Linked DNA regions of Callithrix jacchus. The protein of the gene in region 1 interacts with the protein of each later gene in a biochemical or structural test. Links are inferred from orthologs where the notes say so. Each region holds a gene or a part of one and is shown on either strand. Other genes may lie near its edges.

Region 1 (9,741 bases):
CATAACTTTCATGTTTGTGTTTTTGCCTAAATTTATCACATTAATTTATGGTCTGGGTCTTGTCATGCACATGCTGCAGGATAAACAGAAGGCCTTGTTCTTTGTGCTGCTTGCTGCCTTTGGTAGATACCTTTTTTTTTTTTTTAAAGATGGAATCTCAAAAAAAAAAGAAAAAAGATGGAGTCTCACTCTTTTGCCCAGGCTAGAATGCAGTGGCATGATCTCAGCTCACTGAAACCTTCATCTCCCAGATTCAAGCAATTCTCCAGCCTCAGCCTTCTGAGTAGCTGGGATTAGAGGCATACACCACTACGCCCAGCTAATTTTTATGTTTTCTTTTTTTTATTATTATTTTTTTAGTCAAGTGCAATGAGAGTGGGGGAAAGAGTAGAACAAGGAGTTCGATCTGTAACTGACTGTGAACAATCAATTGAGATAACTCACTACCTTTGGACCAGCCGTTTTTATGTTTTCTGGTAGGGTTTTGCCATGTTGGCCAGGCTGGTCTCGAACTCCTGACTTCAGGTTATCCGCCTGCCTTGGCCTCCCAGAGTGCTGGAATTACAAGTGTGAGTCAGTGCACCCGGCCCTCAGAGATATCTTATGCACAGTTAACAAGACTGTGTTTCTTTCCAGCCCTGGTCCATATGCACTTTGATCTCATACATGCTTATTTATTTGTTATTTTTTAATTTTTTCAGAGATAGAGTTTCTCTGTGTCATCCAGGCTTGAATGCATTGGTGCAGTCAGCTCATTGCAGCCTCACATTCCATGCCTCAAGCAATCTTTCCTACCTTAGCCCCCTGAGTAGTTAGGACTACAGGCAGGAGCCACCATGCCTGGTGCAGTTCTATATCACCTTAGATCATTCCTACTGAGTTGCTACTTGGCTCAATTCTAGTGAGTTGCTACTTAAGCTCAATGTTCAAAGTTCCTCTTTAATATCTGGCTTATGTTCGGTCTTCATGACATAACTTCTGAATTCATATAGCCCCTTAATAGAAGTCATCAGCTGGGAAAACAGAAAATGTTTGAATATTCAGGGTATTCTGATTTGTAGACAGCAACTAAGAGTGTCCTCATTGTTTCCCCTTGGTCTGTTCACAGAGTCATTACCAGCTCCAGCTGTGCCCTGGTGCAGACTGCCCCATGGTTATTCGGGTACAGGAGCCTAGAGCTCGCCGAGTACAGTGCAATCGGTGCAACGAGGTCTTCTGGTAAGAGTGAGTGTGAGTGCTGAGCAGCCCTGGGCTCATGCCCCATCCTCCTCCAAAGCACCACTGCTATTGTTCCCTGTGAGTGCAGCACTGGGAGAGGCAGGGTCTCTGAGCCAACAGAGCAGCTGTGCTCCAAGTGGGTAGGTTTGTGCCCATCATCTCATATTCCACTAGGTGTTCAATACATGCTCAGTCTGAAGACAAGGAAGTGACACAGGTTCTTGGAAAATGTGTTGTGGCTTATGCTACTAAGTCTCATGGCCCAGAGATTGTATGAGGATGTATCTACCTGCATAGCTAATCACATATTACTGTGTTGGAAAGGTACAGTCTTCAAAAATTTAATCTTTCTCTGTCTTGGTCTTTCTTGGCTAATTTTTATTATTTGTTATTTATTTATTTATTTTGAGATGGGATCTCACTGTGTCATTCATGCTGGAGTGCAATGGTGCAATCTCAGCTCACTGCAACCTCCACCTCCCAGGTTCAAGCAGTTCTCCTGCCTCAGCCTCCAGAGTAGCTGGGACTACAGGCAAGCACCACCACACCCAGCTAATTTTTGTATTTTTAGTAGAGACAGGGTTTCACCATGTTGGACCAGGATGGTCTCCTGACCTCATGATCTACCCGCCTCAGACTCCCAAAGTGCTGGGATTATAGGCGTGAGCCACCATGCCCAGCCTTCTTGGCTAATTTTTTATAAAACTAAGTCATAAATATATTCTACATCTACTCAGGGTTCAATTCATTCAGTACATATCATGGGAATAACTAAAGTTTACTGAAGGCTTACCAGGTGACAGGCACTATACTCTGATCACTTTTCTTGCATTATCAAAACTGTATATTACCCTTACAGTCTTTTTTTTTTTTTGAGACAGAGTCTTGTTGCTCTGTTGCCCAGGCTGGAGTGCAGTGGTGTGATCTCTGCTCACCACAGCCTCTGCCTCCCAGGTTCAAGTGATTCTCCTGCCTCAGCTTTCTGAGTAGCTGGGACTACAGGCACATGTCACCACACCTGGCTAATTTGTGTATTTTTAGTAGAGAAAGGGTTTCACTGTGTTGACCAGGCTGGTCTCGAACTCCTGACCTCATGATCTGCCTGCCTTGGGCCTCCCAAAGTGCTTGGATTACAGGCCTGAGCCACTGCGCCCAGCCATGACCCTTATATTCTATGAAGAAATCAAGGTGCAAGGTAAACCTAGTAAATGGTGGAGCCATAATTTAGGCCCAGATCTGTCCTAATCACACCTACCTGGAGTATTCATGATGGGGCTTCAGAGAAACTGCATGGAAGATGTAATGTGTGTGTGCACATACCTGTGTTTCAAGACGTTGACACCAAAGGTTAAGAATCACTAATGTGGGATTTTTTTCATTTTAAATTAGGCAGCCCCCAGGATTACAGCAGATTCAGAGAGACTCCTTGTAGTTGTTCTTTATCCTTCTGTCCCACTTTATGAACTCCTTTCCCTGGGTACTGCCTGAGGGCCTTTTCTAGCTGCAAAGTACTATTGGTGTGCACAAAACAAAAATTTAAAATATGGAAGCCTAGCTCGACATATTGGAGTGTCTTTCTTTTCTGTTTTAAATTTCAGGGTCATCAGATGTATCATGACCCTACAGATTTTGCAGGTTCTGGCATTTGTGCATCTTTGTGTGCACGTCTGGCTGGGAGATCAGATGAGACTCCCAGAAGTAGATCACAGTCCTGCCTTAGGTCTGAACTAAGGAATCCTTCTCAGAGTACCTCACCATGCCCTTTGAGAGTCATAGCTCTGTGTTTGACATTCTGAGGGTTGATAAACAAGATGTTTAAACAGAAATATATATATATATATATATATATATATATATATATTTTTTTTTTTTTTTTTTTTTTTTTGAGACAGTCTTGTTCTATCACTAGGTGTCAGACTGGAGTGCAGTGGTGCAATTTCGGCTCACTGCAACCCCTGTCTCCCAGGTTCAAGCAATTCTCCTGCCTCAGCCTCCCGGGTAGCTGGGCCCAGCTAATTTTTGTATTTTTTGAGAGACATGGTCTCTTCTGTGTGGCCCTGGCTAGAGTACAGTGAAGTGATGATTGCTCACTGCAGCCTCAAACCCCTGGGCTGAAGCGTGCCTTAGCCTCCCAAGTAGCTGGAACTACAGGTGTCCAGCTAATTTTTTTTAATTTGTTGTAGGAGCCAGGCGCAGTGGCTCATGCCTGTGACCCCAGCACTTTGGGAGGCCAGGGTGGGCAGATCACCTGAGGTCAGGAGTTCAAGACTAGCCGGGCCAACATGGTAAAAGCCTGTCTCTACTAAAAATTCAAAAAATAGCCAGGCTTGGTGGCAGGTGCCTGTAATCTCAGCCACTCTGGAGGCTGAGGCAGGAAAATCACTCGAACCTGGAAAGCAGAGGTTGCAGTGAGCTGAGATCATGCCATTGCACTCCAGCCTGGGTGACAAGAGCAAAACTCCGCCTCAAAAAGAAAAAATTGTAGAGACAAAGTCTCCTTATTTCCCTAGGTTGGTCTCAAACTCCTGGTCTAAATTAGTCTTCCTACCTTGGCCCCACAAAGTGCTGGGATTATAGGTGTGAACTTCTGCACCTGGTCAACAGATCTTTTTTTTGTTTTTTTTGAAACAGGGTCTCTCTCAGTTCCCACACTGGAGTGCAATGATACGAACATAGCTCACTGCATCCTTGACCTCCAGAGCTCAAGGGATCCTCCTTCCCTAAACTTTCTAGTAGCTGGTACTATAGGCACATACCACACCTGGATAATTTTTTATTTTTTTGTAAAGATGGAGTCTCATCATGTTGCCCAGGCTGGTTTCAAACTCCTGGGCTCCCAAAGTGCTAGGATTACAAGCATGAACCACTGCACTCAGCCTACAGACACATTTCATTTGTGCACGTTAGAGCATGTCTCATAAGGGCTTAAATGAAAAGACATTCGTGCAGCTATTTCAGTATAATCCTAGGTAAGTAAAGGTCCCATAGGCCTTGAGAGATAACTTTATCTATTTGAAAAGCCCTAGGCCGGCATGGTGCCTCATGCCTGCAATCCCAGCACTATGGGAGCCCAAGGCAGGTGGATCACTAACTACGTCAAGAGATCAAGACCATCCTGGCCAACATGGCGAAACTCCGTCTCTACTGAAAATACAAAAATTAGTTGAGTGTGGTGCCACGCGCCTGTAGTCCTAGCTACTTGGGAGACTGAGGCAGGAGAATCTCTTGAACCCAGGAGACGGAGGTTGCAGTGAGCTGAGATTGTGCCACTATATATGCCAGCCTGGCAGTGGAGTGAGACTGTTACAAACAAAAAAAAAAAAAAAAAAAGAAAAACTAAATTCATGATTTGTTGGTTTGGATAAAAGGAAAATTTTAAACATGGGACCCTGACTTAATAAATATTTGAATGTTTTTCTTTTCCAATTTGTAAGTTTCAAGTGTCGTCAGATGTATCATGCACCCACAGACTGCGCCACTATCCGGAAATGGCTCACGAAGTGTGCAGATGACTCTGAAACAGCCAACTACATTAGTGCTCACACTAAAGACGTAAGGACCCTATTTTACCTCTCATGGATCTACCCTCTTTAGTGGTGCCCAGGGCCTTGCCTTGGAGATTTGCCATCTGAGAGCAGAATACTCAGAGCCCCAGGGTGCATTCTGAGGACTGGGGGTTGGGGACCCTCACGCAGACTTGGCACCTTTTAGCAGTTTATCATCAGATGCATTGGGTGCATTTTTAAAAATTATGAAATGCCAAAATTCCAGGAAAGTTTGACCCAAAGGGGGAACTAATTAGAAGAGAGCTAATTATGATTGAATGCCTACCAGCCTTTAACAGCCTTGGGAAGGAGGTGGTTAATAGCTACACCTGGTGCATAGTAAGGCTTTAATGCAAACCTAGACCTGCACAATACTCATTTTGAAGTTTTCCGTGGGAAAATATGGCCTGTGGGCTCTAGAGGCCGCCGTACCCTTTGTCAGTCACTCACAAGCACGGCTGTGATAATGACATCATTAAACATAGTCTACTTCACAGCAGTGCCAGATCACAGAATCAGATTGGTCTCTGCATTGCTGCCTCAGGTTGCTGGCATCTATCAAATGAGAGAGAGGAGCTTTAGATGTGGATTCCTTGCCCTCTTCTTAAAGCAGAAGTCCAGGCAAGCTGACAGGGACTGAATCCATCGTGGCAGCTCCTGTGCTTCCTTGGCAGTCCTCTCAAGTAGGCAGGCTTTTTGCTGATTCAGCCTGTGCTTAATCTGAGCAGCTTCATGGTAGGGGCAGATAATGGAAGACTTAATGGGGCTCAGCTGGTGCTTGAAGTGTTTCAGAGCCAAATATACTGACCTCATTTCCTTGAATTGCTGTTCCACCCTCAGCGACCTGCCACATTTAAGTGAGATACTCCTCCCCAGAAGTGCTCACATGATGAGCGACTGGGCACAGGTGTTGGGAGCTTTGTGTAATTTGTCTTAAAACCAGCCTAGTGGTATATGAGCCTAATGGCACCCTTCTGTCTCCTCAGTGTCCCAAGTGCAACATCTGCATTGAGAAGAATGGAGGCTGCAATCATATGGTAAGCAGAAGCCTGTACACTTTGCATGTGTGACATGGAGCCTTTGGTCATTGTGCCCTTAACATGTTCTCTTCTGTTTTCCTCTGACAGCAATGCTCCAAATGTAAACACGGTGAGTTCCAAGCTTGGTATGTAAGGCCCAGTGGCATTTTCTTGTGCTTGGGTCTTCGTTACTATTTAAGTGAGTACTTCTGCCATGAAATGACAAAACAAAGAAGAGCCTCATTCACTTACAGTCACAATAACTGGCATAAAGTAGCTTATTTTATTTTTTGGTCCCTCTTATAACCCCACTACTATCTTGCTAACACATATAGTCAGAAGTCAAGTTTGGGATAATCCTCATGATCCTCAGTCATCCAAGAAGATGATTTCAGGGTGTTGCTTTCATTCTTTGCCAAGGCTGGTAAGTAGCTTGGGGCTTATCTGTGCTACCTTAGAGATACCTTTACCAGAGGCAGTAAAATAATGCTTTTCTCTTGCTGTTTTACAAAGTTTATAGAGGGGGTTTTGATTTAGCATTTCAGACCTCCTTTATCGATCAGGAGTAGTTTACATAGCTAGAACCAATTGGTTTTGCATGGCTTCCTGCCAGGTCAACTGAAGAAACAGAATCCCTTCAAGTAGAAAATATGTCGAAGTAGGTCTCCTACACAGACAGCTGCTTTGATGCTTATCAGGAGCCCCCGAGAGTTTCTACTTTTTTTTTTTTTTTTTTTTTTTTTTGAGACAGAATCTCTGTTGCCCAGATGGGAGTGTAGTGGTACGATCTCTGTCTCCTGGGTTCAAGTGATTCTCTTGCCTCAGCCTCTTGAGTAGCTGGGATTACAGGCATATGCCACCATGCCCAGCTAATTTTTGTATTTTTAGTAGACATGGGTTTTGCCACGGTGGCCAGTCCTGACCTCAGGTGATGCACTTGCCTTGGCCTCCCAAAGTGCTGAGATTATAGGAGTAAGCCATTGTGCCTGGCTGAGAGTTTTTGTTTGTAAGGGCCTGTGTGAATGCTATTCCCAGGAACCCTCTTTTCTTTTTTCTTTTTCTATTTCTTTTTTTTTTTTTTTTTGAGATGGAGTTTCACTCTTGTCACCCAGGCTGGAATGCAATGGCACGATCTTAGCTCACTGCAACCTCCACCTCCTGGGTTCAAGCAATTCTCCTGCCTCAGCCTCCCTCCCGAGTAGCTGGGAATACAGGCACGCACCACCATGCCCAGCTAATTTTTGTATTTTTAGTAGAGACGGGGTTTCACCTTGTTGACCAGGATGGTCTCGATCTCATGATCTTGTGATCCACCTGCCTCAGCCTCCCAAAGTGCTGGGATTATAGGTGTGAGCCACTGTGCCCAGCCTTCTTTTTTTCTTTTGAGACAGAGTCTCGCTCTGTCACTCCCAGGCTGGAGTGCAGTGGAGTAATCTTGGCTCACTGCAATCTCTGCCTCCCAGGTTTAAGCAGTTTTCCCACCTCAGCCTTCTGAGTAGCTGGGATTGCAGGTGCCCACCAAGCCTGGCTAGTTTTTTGTATTTTTAGTAGAGAGAGGGTTTCACCATGTTGGCCAGGCTGGTCTCAAACTCCTTACCTCAGGTGATCCGTCTGCCTCGGCCTCCCAGAGTGCTGGGATTAAAGGCGTGAGCCACCGTGCCTGGCCTTTTTTTTCTTTTTTTAAAGATGGAGTTTTGCTGTTGTCACCCAGGCTGGTGTGCAGTGGTGTGAACCCATCTCCCGGGTTCAAGCGATTCTCCCTCAGCCTCCCCAGTAGCTGTGATTATAGGCGCCACCACCACGCCTGGCTGATGGGGTTTCACCATGTTGGCCAGGCTGGTCTCAAACTCATGGCCTCAGGTGATCTGCCTGCCTTGGATTCCCAAAGTGCTAGATTACAGGCATGTGCCACCACGCCCAGCCCGAAGACCCCTCTTAATCAGAGTGGTCATGGCAGGGTCTTAACAACATTGACTCTGCAGTGCCAAACGAAGATAGGCCATAGGTAGTGGCATATTTCTTCTGTGGGTCCACACTCTTTCTTTCTCTTTTTCTATGTATATATCAGAGAGGGAAGTGTATCATAGACTTAGAACAATGCAAAAGACACATACAGCTTAAAGAATAATGACAAACACCCCAGCACCCACTACATTTTTAGTGCCTAAGAAGTCCCCGGGTGTCAGTATCCCTTGACACCCAGAGTTAACTGCCATTTCATGAGAATCTTGAACCCAGGAGGCAGAGGTCACAGTGAGCTGAGATCGTGCCACTGTACTGGCTAATTTTTTTAAGTAGAGATGGGGGTTGCACCATGTTGGCTGGACTGGTCTTGAACTCCTGACCTCAGGTAATCCACCCGCCTTAGCTTCCCAGAGTGCTGGGATTACAGGTGTGAGCTACTGCGCTCAGCCAAAACAGAATAATTCTGAGTATGAACCATTGGATTGCTCTTGGTTTTATAGAAATGTGTTCTTTGGGAGGCAGAAATGGGCAGATCACTGAATGTTGGGAGTTCGAGACCAGCCTGGCCAACATGGTGAAACCCCATCTCTACTAAAAATACAAAAATTAGCCAGACGTGTTGGCGGGCACCTGTAATCCCAGCTACTCTGGAGGCTGAGGCAGGAGAATCACTTGAACCTGGGAGGAGGTTGCAGTGAGCTGAGATCGCACTACTGCACTTCAGCCTAGGGGACAGAGTAAGACTCTGTCTCAAAAAGAATAGGAATTGTGTTCTTTAAAACAGAAAAAAAGGGAAAAAGCCTTTATTATTAGCTTTCGATACAGAAATCTTTCTAGGACTACAGAAATCTTTCTAGGACGAATGTGATGGTAGGAAGCAGTCGGGAGGTCAGTTTTTACTGATGATGTGTTTAGACAGGTAGTCCTCAATTGGATGAGTTCCTGCTTCTCATTGTGGCATTGACATAGCAGACCAGTAGTCTATGGTCAGCATCTGCCTGTGTTAGATTAATAAGGCACATGGCACATGTGCTGATGGAATAGAAATTATCCATAAGCTGCCATGTGGAGTGGCTCTCAAAGCCTGTAATCTTAGCACTTTGAGAGGTCTAGGTGGGCAGATCATGAGGTCAGGAGTTTGAGACCAGCCTGGCCAACATGGTGAGACCCTGTCTCTACTAAAAATACAAAAATTAGCTGAGCATGGTGGCATGTGCCTATAATCCCAGCTACTTGGAGAATTGCTTGAACCAAGGTGTAAGAGGTTGCAGTGAGCTGAGATTGCACCATCACACTCTAGCCTAGCAACAGAGCAAGACTCCATCTCAAAAAGAAAAAAAGAAATTATCCATAGGCTATTGTTCATATCAGCAAGTATAGGCTATAAGGACAGTAGGATATGACAGGGATGAGAGGTGCACATTCCTTCTGGAAAGAGGCACCCTTGCGAAGTTCTTTTCAGGTGACCACTTTGGAGCTGGGTCTGTCTGTCTCACTCTGCCTTTGGAGGAAAGTGGAGTTGTCTTGTGGATGTAAAAGACTTTTCTCTGTTCTGTACAGACTTCTGCTGGATGTGTCTAGGAGATTGGAAGACTCATGGCAGTGAATACTATGAGTGCAGTCGTTACAAGGAGAATCCTGACATTGTGAACCAGAGCCAACAAGCCCAGGCAAGGGAAGCCCTCAAGAAGTACTTATTCTACTTTGAGAGGGTAGGTGTCCTCTTCTGTACCTTCCCCTACAGGGTTGGCTTCTTCCACTTGGCCTGTTGGGGTGGGATTCCCATGGACTGGTAGCCAGAGCCAGCCTGTACACATAGAAGTCAGTGAATGGAGCTCCTGCGGTATCCCTGGGTGCTGCCTGTATAGATGTGCCTTTCAAGCTCTACAGGGTATCCCCAGCCAACAGGGAAGGAACTGGTACTGACCTTGGTTGAATGATGGTTTTTTTTTTTTTTTTTTGAGACAGAATCTCTCTCTGTTGCCCAGGCCAGA
Region 2 (10,514 bases), on another chromosome or scaffold:
TGGGCTTCCACAGACTGGAACATTTTTAACAAAACATTAAAAAATTAATTTGGCTTATATAAGTAATACATGTGCCCTGTAGAAAATTTGGAGAATAAAGTATAAAGAAGGAAATCACCTGTTACCCCACCCCCACAGTGACTACTGTTCTTTGGGGTTTTTCCATACATACTCTGTGTGGGATCTCAGAGCACAAGCTGTTTTATAACCTGCTTCTGCACTCGAGCTTTTCTCAGCATGTCACCACCTCACTAGATTCCTCACACTGTCGTTCTGTCTGCACAGGACCCCAGAGGAGGGGCAGGGCCGCAGCGGCTTCAGTGTCAGCAAATCTCCCTTACAGTTCCCCTGTTTTCAGTAATTGTATCTGTTACTTCTGTAGGGCAACGGGACTTGAAGACGCAGACTGTTTTGCCCCTCAAGGGGCATTTGTCAATGTCTAGACATTTTTGATTGTCACAAGTTGGGGAAGCGAGGACTGCTGCTGGATGGCCCCCACCAGAGTTGTCTGGCCCAAGTGTCTGGAGCGCCACTGTGGAAACCTGCCGTAGACTCATTCCCGAGCTGGGAAATCCCTGAGTGACAGGAGGAAAGCTGAGGTAGGGCTTGGTGTAGCCAGACTGCCCTGCAGGGAGATGTTTCCAGCGCCCAGGACGTCTTCCAGCATCCCTGCCACCCCTAGATACTGTCCTCTGCTGCCCACGTTTCACAGTGCTTTCAAGGAGAATTAAACTTGCCTGTTCAAGTCTCCGGAGTCAGAGGAAGAGGAAGGCTGTCTAGACTGTGGTTGGAGGTTCCGGGGAACTGGTGGCCCTAGCAGGCAGAACCGCCACTCACCTGCCGAGGGAGTGTATATTAAGCCTTGCCTGGTCCCCAAAAGAATGAATGCAGCAAGGTAAAATATGGGAGGCACAGGGAAGACAGTGGGCCCAGGAGAGTTGGGGGTCCAGGCCCTGTGGGCGCCACAGGCCAGCCAAGGCACCACCTACCTTCAGAGTTTACTGCTTCAGAAAGAAGTTGAGCTGAGCCAGGCCCAGCCCTCGGCCTTCCGGGCAGTGTGTTTGGCCTGCACGGGGTGATTAGCAGTTCCATTTGTTTGCCCACTGGTGGTTCTAGGAGTGCCCCACTCTAGGGTCTGCACAGGAAAATGGGAATGTTGAAACACAAGTGACAGGCCTGCGCAGCCATGCCCTCAGCCCTGTGTTCACCTTGGAGTTGGGGCCACACCACCCCAGCGATGGTCAGGCTGGAAGGCTGGCTCTGCTCACGCCACGGTGAGGGGGACTGGGCCAGCAGGAGGGCTTGCAGCTGCAGCAGCTGTTGAGCAGGAGGGAGGGCAGCACTGACGGGGTCCCCTGGGGGTGGAGCACAGGCAGGCCTAGAGACCCCTGCCTCACTGAGGGGTGCCATGTCCCTGGCCAGGCTCATGCCACATTCTGATAGTGCCCCACACCAAGCTGCTCACAGGGAGCCTCAGCTGGTGACACAGCAAGACAGGAGGGCTTTAGTGGCCAGGTCCCCACTGGGTCTGTGTCCCTTCCTCACTGCCCTCAACCTCCCCTTTCCGGGGGGGCTTGCTTCCTGTACTCACCTTGGGCTTCTCATCCCAGCCCTTCTCCCGAGACTCCAGACTATACGACCCCAGCCTGGCCTGGCTTAGGCCTTCCTAGCTAAAGGCTAAGCCAGAAACTGGCCCCTGGTCAGCCAGGGAGGGCCCAGTCCAGGGCCCAAAAGATGGATGCAGAAGTGCCCCCAGCCTTCTGCGTGAGAGGACCGGCTGCCCCCCATGTGCCTAGCCTACACTCTAAGTCAACCCTGCTCTTAGGGCCCCCCGGGCGCCCAGCCCAGCTGCTTTCCTGCTAATGCCTCCTTGGAGCCTTCCCAGCCTGGAGGGCCCTCTAGACACCCCAGATGGCCATTGTGGCCGATTCAAGGATGCACGCCACTGCTGCTCCTGAGCCCCAGTGTCTAGGTTGACAAGCCCTTCATGTCCCAAGGAGGTGAGAGCCCAGTGATCCACACTTATAGTCCAGGGATGCAGTGGGCGTAGAGATAGGGAATGAGGCCTGCCCCAGACCCTGATCCCCAGGGGTGGGGTGGAGGCGGCCGTGGCCAGCAGGTGGCAGCACAGGCTGCATCCTTGGAGCTTAGGAGCTGGAAGATGGGATGCAGGATTCCTAGGCCCTGGCTGGCTCACCTGTCCGCCTCCATTCCCTGAGCTGGCTGAGCCCCTCAGGGTGCCCAACCATGGTAGGAACTCTGAGCCAGAGGCTGGGCAGGGACAGCAGCAACTGGCAACTGTAGTGGGAGGGGATTGCATCGGGACCAGGGAGACGAAGCTCTAGACAGCCCAACCCCCTTCTGCCCCAGGGTCCCTACCTTGTGGTCCCACCTTGAGACCAAAGGGCTGGACACCCAGAGGCCCCTGAAGAGGAGGCTGGCAGTGAAGGGGGGACCAGTGGGGCTGGGGAGCTCTGCCTGGAGGCAGAGGCTGGGAGGGAAGGAAGCAGGGGGAAGCTAGAGAGTATGTGTTGGGGAGATAGGAGGGAGGCAGGGAGATGCCTGGATCTGATGATGTTGCTGCTTGGAAGACTGGAGGAGGAACCTGGTTGCAGGAATGGGAAAGCTCTAGTTTCTGGGCTCAACCCGTCACCCCCACTATCCCTACCTACCCCCCCCAACCCTGCAGGATGGGGGCCATGAGCCAAGGAATGGGGTGTTTTTTGTAAGGCCTGAGGAACGTGCCAGGCTCCACACCCCAGGCCTGAATGCCCTCAGATGCTCAGAGCTCCTCCCTCACTGCCCTCAGTGTTCCTGGGAGACAGGAGGGAAGGGGCCCATGGACTAGGTGGGGCAGGCAGAACACAGTGGCCACCTGCTGGCTGCTGTCCCATCTCACAGAAGGCGAGGCCCACAGCAGGCCCAGGACTCACTTCTGGGGCCTGGCTGCTGCCCCCTGGGAAAGGAGAGGCACCACTCACGCACAGGCAGGCCAAAACCCTAGTTTATTTCAGCATCAGCAGTTTCTTAGCCATCAAAAAAATAAACTCTACCAAGGGTGACGAAGTCTCTACAGCAGGGCTAAGGGCTCGCCAGGCGGCGAGCATCAGGGTGCATGGTGGGCACTGCCCAGCAATAAGTTAGGAAGCAGCAGGCTGGTGTTGGGTGTGGGCCGGGCTTCACTTCTGGGCAGGCATGAGGTCGTCGATGGCCTGGCCCTGTTCCAGCCGCTGCTCCATCTCGATGAGCAGCTTCACTCCGTCCACCACCATCTGCACCAGCTCCACCTCCGAGAAGCCCAGGCGGTCCGCGTTGGAGACGTCGAAGACCCCGCCCACCGCAGCTGTGTCCACACCGCCTGGGGAGACAGCAGGTCAGGGGGAGGGAACAACTGCCCAAGGGCCAGCAGGAAGCCCACAGCACCTGCCCTGCTCACCTGTGCCTCGCTTCTGAAGTCGAAGCCGCTTAAGCACCTCCGAGAATTTCTCGTGCTTGCCCAGGTGGGGCAGCTTGATATGCACACCTGCCCGCAGCCCTGTGCCCAGGTTGGATGGGCAGGTGAGGATGTAGCCCAGGTGAGGGTTCCACATGAACTCATAGTTCTTAGACTTGAAAAGAGTTTCAATCTGCAGACAGAAGAGGGTGTGAGTGGGAAGGCCTGCCTGAGACGACCACAGGCCCCAAGTCCCGGAAATCCCCCAGGGGGACCGATGGGGTACCCACGTCCCTGCCTGAGCCCTGGGATCTGGACCTGCCCCATCCCTGGCACCTGAGTGAGGCCGGTGCAGAAGCGGGTGAACACTTCCTTCATGTTGCCCCCCTTCTGCATGGAGATGACCCGAAGGTGGTCCTCCTCGTTGACCCACACCAGGAAGGTTTTATTGTCATTGTGCCTGTGGGAGGGCTGATCTCAGGGCATATCCAGAAAAAAGCCCCAGGCCGTCCAGACCACAGGAACTTCCCAAGGCCCCAAGGTGCTGCTCTCAGCCGTGCCCAGGAGTAGCGGCTGTTGCCAAGACTCCACCGCCAACACGGGGCAGGCGGGGAACGGAAAGCCTCAGAGAGCAGGAGAACCCCCGCTACCATCATGTGCTGTGGTCTGAGATGGAGCGGGGCCAGGGACCGCCAGGACAACCCTGCCCACCACCACCCCCAGTGGGGGTAGGAGCCCTGCCCCTGGAGAAGCTTCTGCGTCACCAGCTCCTGGTAGAATCCCAGCAGCGGAAGAGAGAAAGAAGAGAAAACAAGGAGCTCCAGCTCCCGAGGGGCGTGGGGGAAAGGCGCCAGCGAGCCTCGCCCCCCCCTCCTGGCATGGAGGGAGGAGTCCCCACCGGCCCAGTCCCTTAACGCACCTGCGGCCAAGGTCACCTATGCGGAGGGCGGGGCGGCAACGAACCCAGACTCGGAGCGCGGCCCCTCCCTCCTCCTCGCTGCGAGCGAGCGGGGCGAGAGGGAAAGGGGAGGCGGCAAGGAGGGAGGACGCCGCAGGAGGGCGCAAAGGGATACGCACCAGATGCCGCGGGCGTCCGGCCAGTCGCGGGCCATGCCCGAGGCCAGGAGCAGAGGAGACACGGGCTTGTCAAAGAGGAAGTGGTCGTCGATGAGCTGCTGCTGCTCCGCCTCCGTCATGCTCTTGAGCGCGTAGTATCGGCCAGCCAGGTCGCCGTCCAGGCTGGACAGGGCTGCGGGGGGCGCGCTCAGGACGCTCGGACCCCGCGCCCGCCCCGCAACCCTCATCGCGGACCCGCCCGCACCAGGGGACGTCAGAGGCCCCCACCCGCCCGGGTTTGCGCGCGTCCACTCCTCACGAGCCGGGCGACGGTCCGAGGCTGTGACCCCGCGCCAGAACGCTCCCTCCCCGGGCCCCAGGCCGCTGTGGACGCGGGGCTGGGCCGCCGGCACCTCGGTCCCTCGGGGAAACTGAACCCGGGCGCGCGCAGATAAAAGCGTGGCGGCGGCGACCGCTCCCGGGCGGCTGATAAACAAGCGGGCGGGGACCGCGCCGGGACGGGGACGCGGTTGCCGCCGACCCTCGGCCCGCCCGGCCCCTACCTTCCACCGCGAGCTTCTCGATGGCGCGGCGCTCCCCGCGGCTGCAGTGCGGGGGGAGGCAGAAGCCGCGGATGCTGCGGCCCGTGCGCACCCGGGAGCTCAGCACGTAGTTGGGGTCCAGGTCGTCGCCGCCCTGAGGGCCAGACGGGAGTGAGCGCCGGGAGACCCCGGAAACGCGGCTCGCCCCGCCCGAGCGCCCGCTGGCCGCTCCGCACCTGCAGGTTGTCGGGGTTGAGGTCAGTCTTGTGCTCATCGCTGGGCTTGTAGCCGCCATGCCGGTCCTCGATGATGGGGTCGAACAGATCCTTGAACACTTCGTAGGATTCCTCGTCGCCCGCCACGCAGCCCACGGTCATGATGTATGGGTGGCCTGGGGGAGGGGGCGCGGGACGGGGACAGTGACGTCACGGCCGGGCCCTAGCGCGCTGCTGAGGACCCTGCGGCCGCGCGCGGGGAGGGGGCGCCGGGACCCCGGCCCCGAGGGGGCGCGTACCCGGGTTGTCCACGCCCGTCTGGATGACGTCGTCCAGCGTGAAGCCGCTCGGCGTGCTCTTGGCGCGCAGCTCCGCGTACAGCTCGGGGGTCAGCACCTTGGCCATGTGGTTGTTGTGGCTGCTCAGGTCGGGGAATTCGTCCTCGGCCGGGAAGCGCAGCTTCAGCGTGTTGTGGCTGTTGGAGAACGGCATGGCGGCTGCGGGCTGCGGGGAGACGCGGGGTCAGCGGGGACGGGCGCGCAGGGTTTCCCGGGCTCCCGTGAACCACTCAGGGCCCCGCCGCCGGCTCCCCCGGCGCCCCCAGGACGCGGCCAAGGTTAGCGGGGTCCACAGCGCGCGCGGGGAGCGCCACCGTTGCCGGGGACCCCCGGCCGATCGGGCGCGCGCTCCGAGCGCGTGACGCCTCAGCGCCCCTCGCCCCGGCACGGACGCCCCGGCCCCCGGCCCTCCGGCCCACTCACCGGGCGTCCGTGCGGGGGCGGGGGCGGGGTCGCTCCGTCGGCCAGCAGCTCCGGGCGCGGCGCAGGCGAACAGCGGCCGCTACGCTCTCCCGAGGCTCTTAAGGGGTGCAACGCGGGCCGCCCATTGGCGGCTATTTATAGCCCATTCATTCCATTGGCCCGCGCCGCGGGGTGGTGCCGCCGCTTTGTCCGCCGCCCGCAGCCCCCAACACCCCCCGGCCGCCCACCCGAGCCGTCCCTTCGCCGGGACCCCGCGCAGCCTGCCCAGCGCCGGCCCAAGACCTCGAAACCGAAACCTCAGGTCCTTAGCTATTTGTATCCCCTCGCGCGCCCTGCCTCCGACCGGGAAACTGAGGCCGGAGAATCTCCGGGCACTCGAGGACGCTCGGATTCGTCCGCATCCTCGCGCCTGCCCGCCTCGTCCAGCCAGCCCCCGCGGCGGCGGCGGCGGTGAGGGGCCAGGCGGAAGCGTTAAGGGCTTTTGCAGCAGGTACTGACCGCACCCCACGTTCGAGCTGGCCTGGAGCCGCTGACCTTCCTCAAGGTGCCCGCAGGCATTTCCTGGGCGATCTTGGTGCAAAGCGAAGGCACGCGGGAGGTGTAGTCTGGCTGCGGCCCAGCCCGGGGGCACCGCGGTGCCCTGACCTTGGACAAGTCCTGGGGCTCCGGGGGATGCGGGGCAGAAATCACTGGGACACTGTGGCCTTAAGAGACCGCCGGCAAGTGCAGCCTCGGAGTTTCCAGACACCAACCCCAGGCCCTCTTCGCAGGGGACAAGTTCTCCCGACCCCCAAAGGCGGTCTCCAGAGACTTCAGGCAAGGATGGAGGAAATGCTAATAAACAATAAGCATAGGTACGATTAAAAAAGAAAAAAAAAACTCGTCTCACAGATAACCAGAATCATGCAAATTAAACAGTGACTCCACCTGTCTCTACCCTCAACACTCCCAGATCGACCCCAGCCAGTGCTGGCTATGAGCTGGAATGCAGGGAGACAGGCGTCCACATGCTGCCTGCAACTTGAATTGCTGCATGCTTTTCGCAAGGTAATTTGGCAGAATCTATTAACATTAAAAAATGTTCAAACTCTGTGACCCAGCAATCCCACTTCTAGGAATGCAGCCCTTAGGAGGGATGTCTCAGTTCTCTCCACTAATGGACCAGGAGATGTGTGAAGGGAAAAACACACACCTCTGGATACCTGCCGATGCCCATCAGGCTGGACTGGCCCAGAGTGGGAAGGCATCTGCCTGCTGTGGAGTATTATGCAGCTGGTAAGAGGGGAGGTGGAGCATGTGGAGTTAATATCTATCCACGACCCTCATATGTTGCTCTGTGACTAAAGCCAGGAAGTGGGGAACCTTTATCTTTGGGTATATTTGACAAAAACTCCTCCAGCAATGGCACAGTGAGCACCTGCCCAGTGCCAGCTGCTGGGGATACAGCAGGCAGCAAGGTGCACAGTGCCTGCTGCTGGAGGAAGACTGGCCATGAGCCAGCAGCCCGGCAAACCAGATGACATTAGGAGATCAGTGCTGCTGGGGTTGGGGGGGACACAGGGCACAGCAGTTCCAGGCATAAGAGACCCTGAATAGGTGCCTCTGAAGAGAAGGCACCAGAGCCAAGGCGCAAAGGCAGGGGAAGCATCAGCGTGTGGCCCTGCCTCATCCCCATGGTCACTGCAGAGGACACACCTCTTCCCTGCTTGGCTGTGGGGCCCTACCCCATCCCTGTGGTCACTGAAGAGGAGACACATGCCTCTTCCCTGCTTGGCATGCTTTGTCTTGTTCCAAGCCGGCCTTTTTTAGACTAATCAAACAAACCCATGTAAAAAGGCAAATGGCCCCTCTGGGCTGGCCAGACAGCAGGTGTCCCTTAAGCCTGGAATTCCTGCTCTCTGTGCCCCCTGCAGCCTCTTTCCCCAATTTTAGACATTTCTGCAGCTGCCCACCCCCAACCCCACAAAGCCAGAAGGGCTTAAGTTTCTGTTTCTAGAAGGGATAGCTGCAGCCCCTGGAGGCTGACTTGGGGGAGGGAGGGACTTGAGGGGACACTCAGGATTTCCTCTGTCTTCAGCATCTGCAGCTTCTCAGGCCACCCCTCCCTTCTCTCACCCTCCTGGCGGAGAGCCTAACCTGCTTCCCCAGGTCCCCATGGGAAAGGACCCCCTTTCCCCTTCCCTCCACAGGCAAGGTCAGAACTAGAGCTGAGGTCTGGAGAGCAGGACTGCCCGTGGCAAGCAGTGAGCTGGGCAGTGGGGTGGGTCCGGCCTGGGGCTGCTGGCAACCCTCAGCCTTCTGAGGTGGGTGTTTTTGTCCCCAGTGTGCAGACAGAAGATCATTTTATTTTTGCTTTTATTCTGTTGAGACAGGGGTCGCGCTGTGTTGCCCAGCTGGACTCAGTGTGCAGACATATCAGAAGTTGGGTGACAGAAGTGTCCAGTTATAGGCCCAGCAACCCCTCCACCCTCGAAGAGTGCCAGCCCTGTGCCAGCTGCCTGGGGCCGACCGACGGGGCAGAGGCCAGGCAGCTGTGATGGGGCAGCAGCAGCAGGTGAGACCCAAGTATCAGGGTTGAGACCCCCCAGGCAGGAGCTGATTGGGAGCCTTAGAGGCCCGCAGAGCAGGGGCACAAGGGGAGGGTCTGGAAGGTGCCGGCCTTCCCCCAGCTCACCTGCCCCGTCTGCAGAACCCTGCCTTCCCGAGGGCCCAAGGAGCTGAAGGCTGGTGATGTTGCCAGGCCAGTGTTTGGCCCACGTTCCTCAGAAATCACACCTGGTTACACATGAACCACTGGGCCTAGAGGGGGCTTCAAAGGAGGCCCAGGCCTTTTATTCACAGAACATGACGCAGCTCGGGGGGCCATCCTTGGAGTCTGCTCCCAGGGCACAGCAGAGGCAGCATCGCCTCCTTCAGTGCCCTGCCCCTGAGTTCTGCAGAACCCGAAGAGGAAGTGGGCTGAGGTCAGGAGAGGGGCAGGGGCTGACAGGGTCACAGAGCATAGTAGGGCAGGAGACTGGGCTGGTCATAGAGGCAGGGACCGCAGTGACGTGGTCCCTGCCAGGGGCGTGGACAGAGCAGCCTCCCCCGTGAGCATCCTTCCTGCCTGTTCCCACCTTTCTTCAGATCCACCATTGGTTCTCTGAAGCCAGTTTACTGGCTTTAATTCTTAATGAATTAAGAGATGGGGTCTTGGGCCGGGTGCGGTGGCTCACGCCTATAATCCCAGCACTTTGGGAGGCCGAGGCGGGTGGATCACGAGGTCAAGAGATCGAGACCATCTTGGTCAACAAGGTGAAATCCTAATCCCACTTTGACCTCACTGGCTGTGACCTTCGGCAAGTTACTGAACCTCTCTGAGTTTCTGTTTCTCCATCTATAAACTATTCCCTCCCTCATAGGATCCAGGGGAGAATTCAGTGAGATGACCCAGCTGGGCATATACGGCATCAGCCCTTGTGGGGAGCCATAGTACAGACTGTGCAGGGGATCATCAGCTGAGGTAGGGGTGCTGGTTCTGCTTGAGGACTCAGGCTGGGGACTGGGGCAGCTCAGATGGAGCAGATGGGCTGGGCTGAGAAGGCTGCCTGGAGGAGGGGGCACTAGAGGAGTTGGCCAGCCAGTAATGGACAGAGAAGCAAGTGGGAAGTTGGAACCAAGGGAAACCACCGCCAAGTCACCAAATCGTAACTCAGGTCCATGCAGGCAGCCGACTTTACACCACAGCTGAGAGGCTGGGGAAGAGAAGCCCAAGAGAAACAAAGTCAGAATCCCCCAGGGAAGCAATTAGGGGGTAACTCAGGCAGGTGCATCATCTAGGGAGAGAAGCATCTGCTGGAACAGAGGTTGGGGAGCCATGGATGGGACTGGGTTGTCTCAACATTGAGAGCAGAAGGCAGGGAGGCCATGAAGCAGATGTAGAAGCATCTGGTGGCCAGCGTGGTGGCCCCACAGGGATAGGAGCCCATAGAGAGGGAGGCTATGGAAGGCCTCTCACCATCTTACTCCTGGGGGCTCTCAGCTCCTGGCCCAGCTAGGGCAGGGACAGAGGGGCTGAGGTTGGACCCCTGGGTTTCTATGATGGACCCTGAAAAGCCCATGGCAAGGGCCACAGATCCCCTGGCCTGGCCTGCCCCAGAGGCGAGAGTTGAGAGTGCCCACTGGCTGCCAAGGTCCTAGAGCAGAGCTGGCTCTGGAGGAGCATGGCTACCTCATTTTACCAGGCTGGAGTGGCAGAGTGCCTGGGGAGGGTGGCCTAAGGTCATTGCTAACTGGCTTGGGTTCTGGTGCAGGATAAACCCTAGGCTGGGTGGGGGGGGAGGGGGGTCTCTGTTACTCTCCAAGACCTGGCCCTGACAGCTAGGGGCTGGAGGAAGAAAACGCACATCCCCTGCCCCGCTCTCCTGCACAGGCACTCCACAGAGGAGCCAGCTGAGAAGAGCGCTGTGGAGACAGAACAGCACTCCCGCTTCTCTTTTTTGCCTGTCCTCCAGCAGCTCCTCCTCCG

What was found. The genes of interacting proteins can lie anywhere in the genome.
Region 2: of the proteins of ARIH2 (region 1) and CKB, one has a biochemical effect on the other in vitro, tested with the Homo sapiens proteins (2 studies listed by BioGRID). The link is inferred for Callithrix jacchus from reciprocal best matches to the Homo sapiens genes ARIH2 and CKB.

What each region holds. Positions count from the first base shown.
Region 1 is NC_133516.1:31,591,231-31,600,971, forward strand, and holds part of ARIH2 (E3 ubiquitin-protein ligase ARIH2), read left to right. Parts: intron 1-1,108; coding exon 1,109-1,218; intron 1,219-4,652; coding exon 4,653-4,770; intron 4,771-5,749; coding exon 5,750-5,800; intron 5,801-5,890; coding exon 5,891-5,912; intron 5,913-9,307; coding exon 9,308-9,459; intron 9,460-9,741.
Region 2 is NC_133509.1:138,348,768-138,359,281, forward strand, and holds CKB (creatine kinase B-type), read right to left. Parts: upstream 6,082-10,514; 5' UTR 6,008-6,081; intron 5,751-6,007; 5' UTR 5,739-5,750; coding exon 5,546-5,738; intron 5,423-5,545; coding exon 5,268-5,422; intron 5,186-5,267; coding exon 5,053-5,185; intron 4,683-5,052; coding exon 4,511-4,682; intron 3,894-4,510; coding exon 3,770-3,893; intron 3,627-3,769; coding exon 3,437-3,626; intron 3,359-3,436; coding exon 3,180-3,358; 3' UTR 2,987-3,179; downstream 1-2,986. UniProt on the Homo sapiens protein: Reversibly catalyzes the transfer of phosphate between ATP and various phosphogens (e.g. creatine phosphate).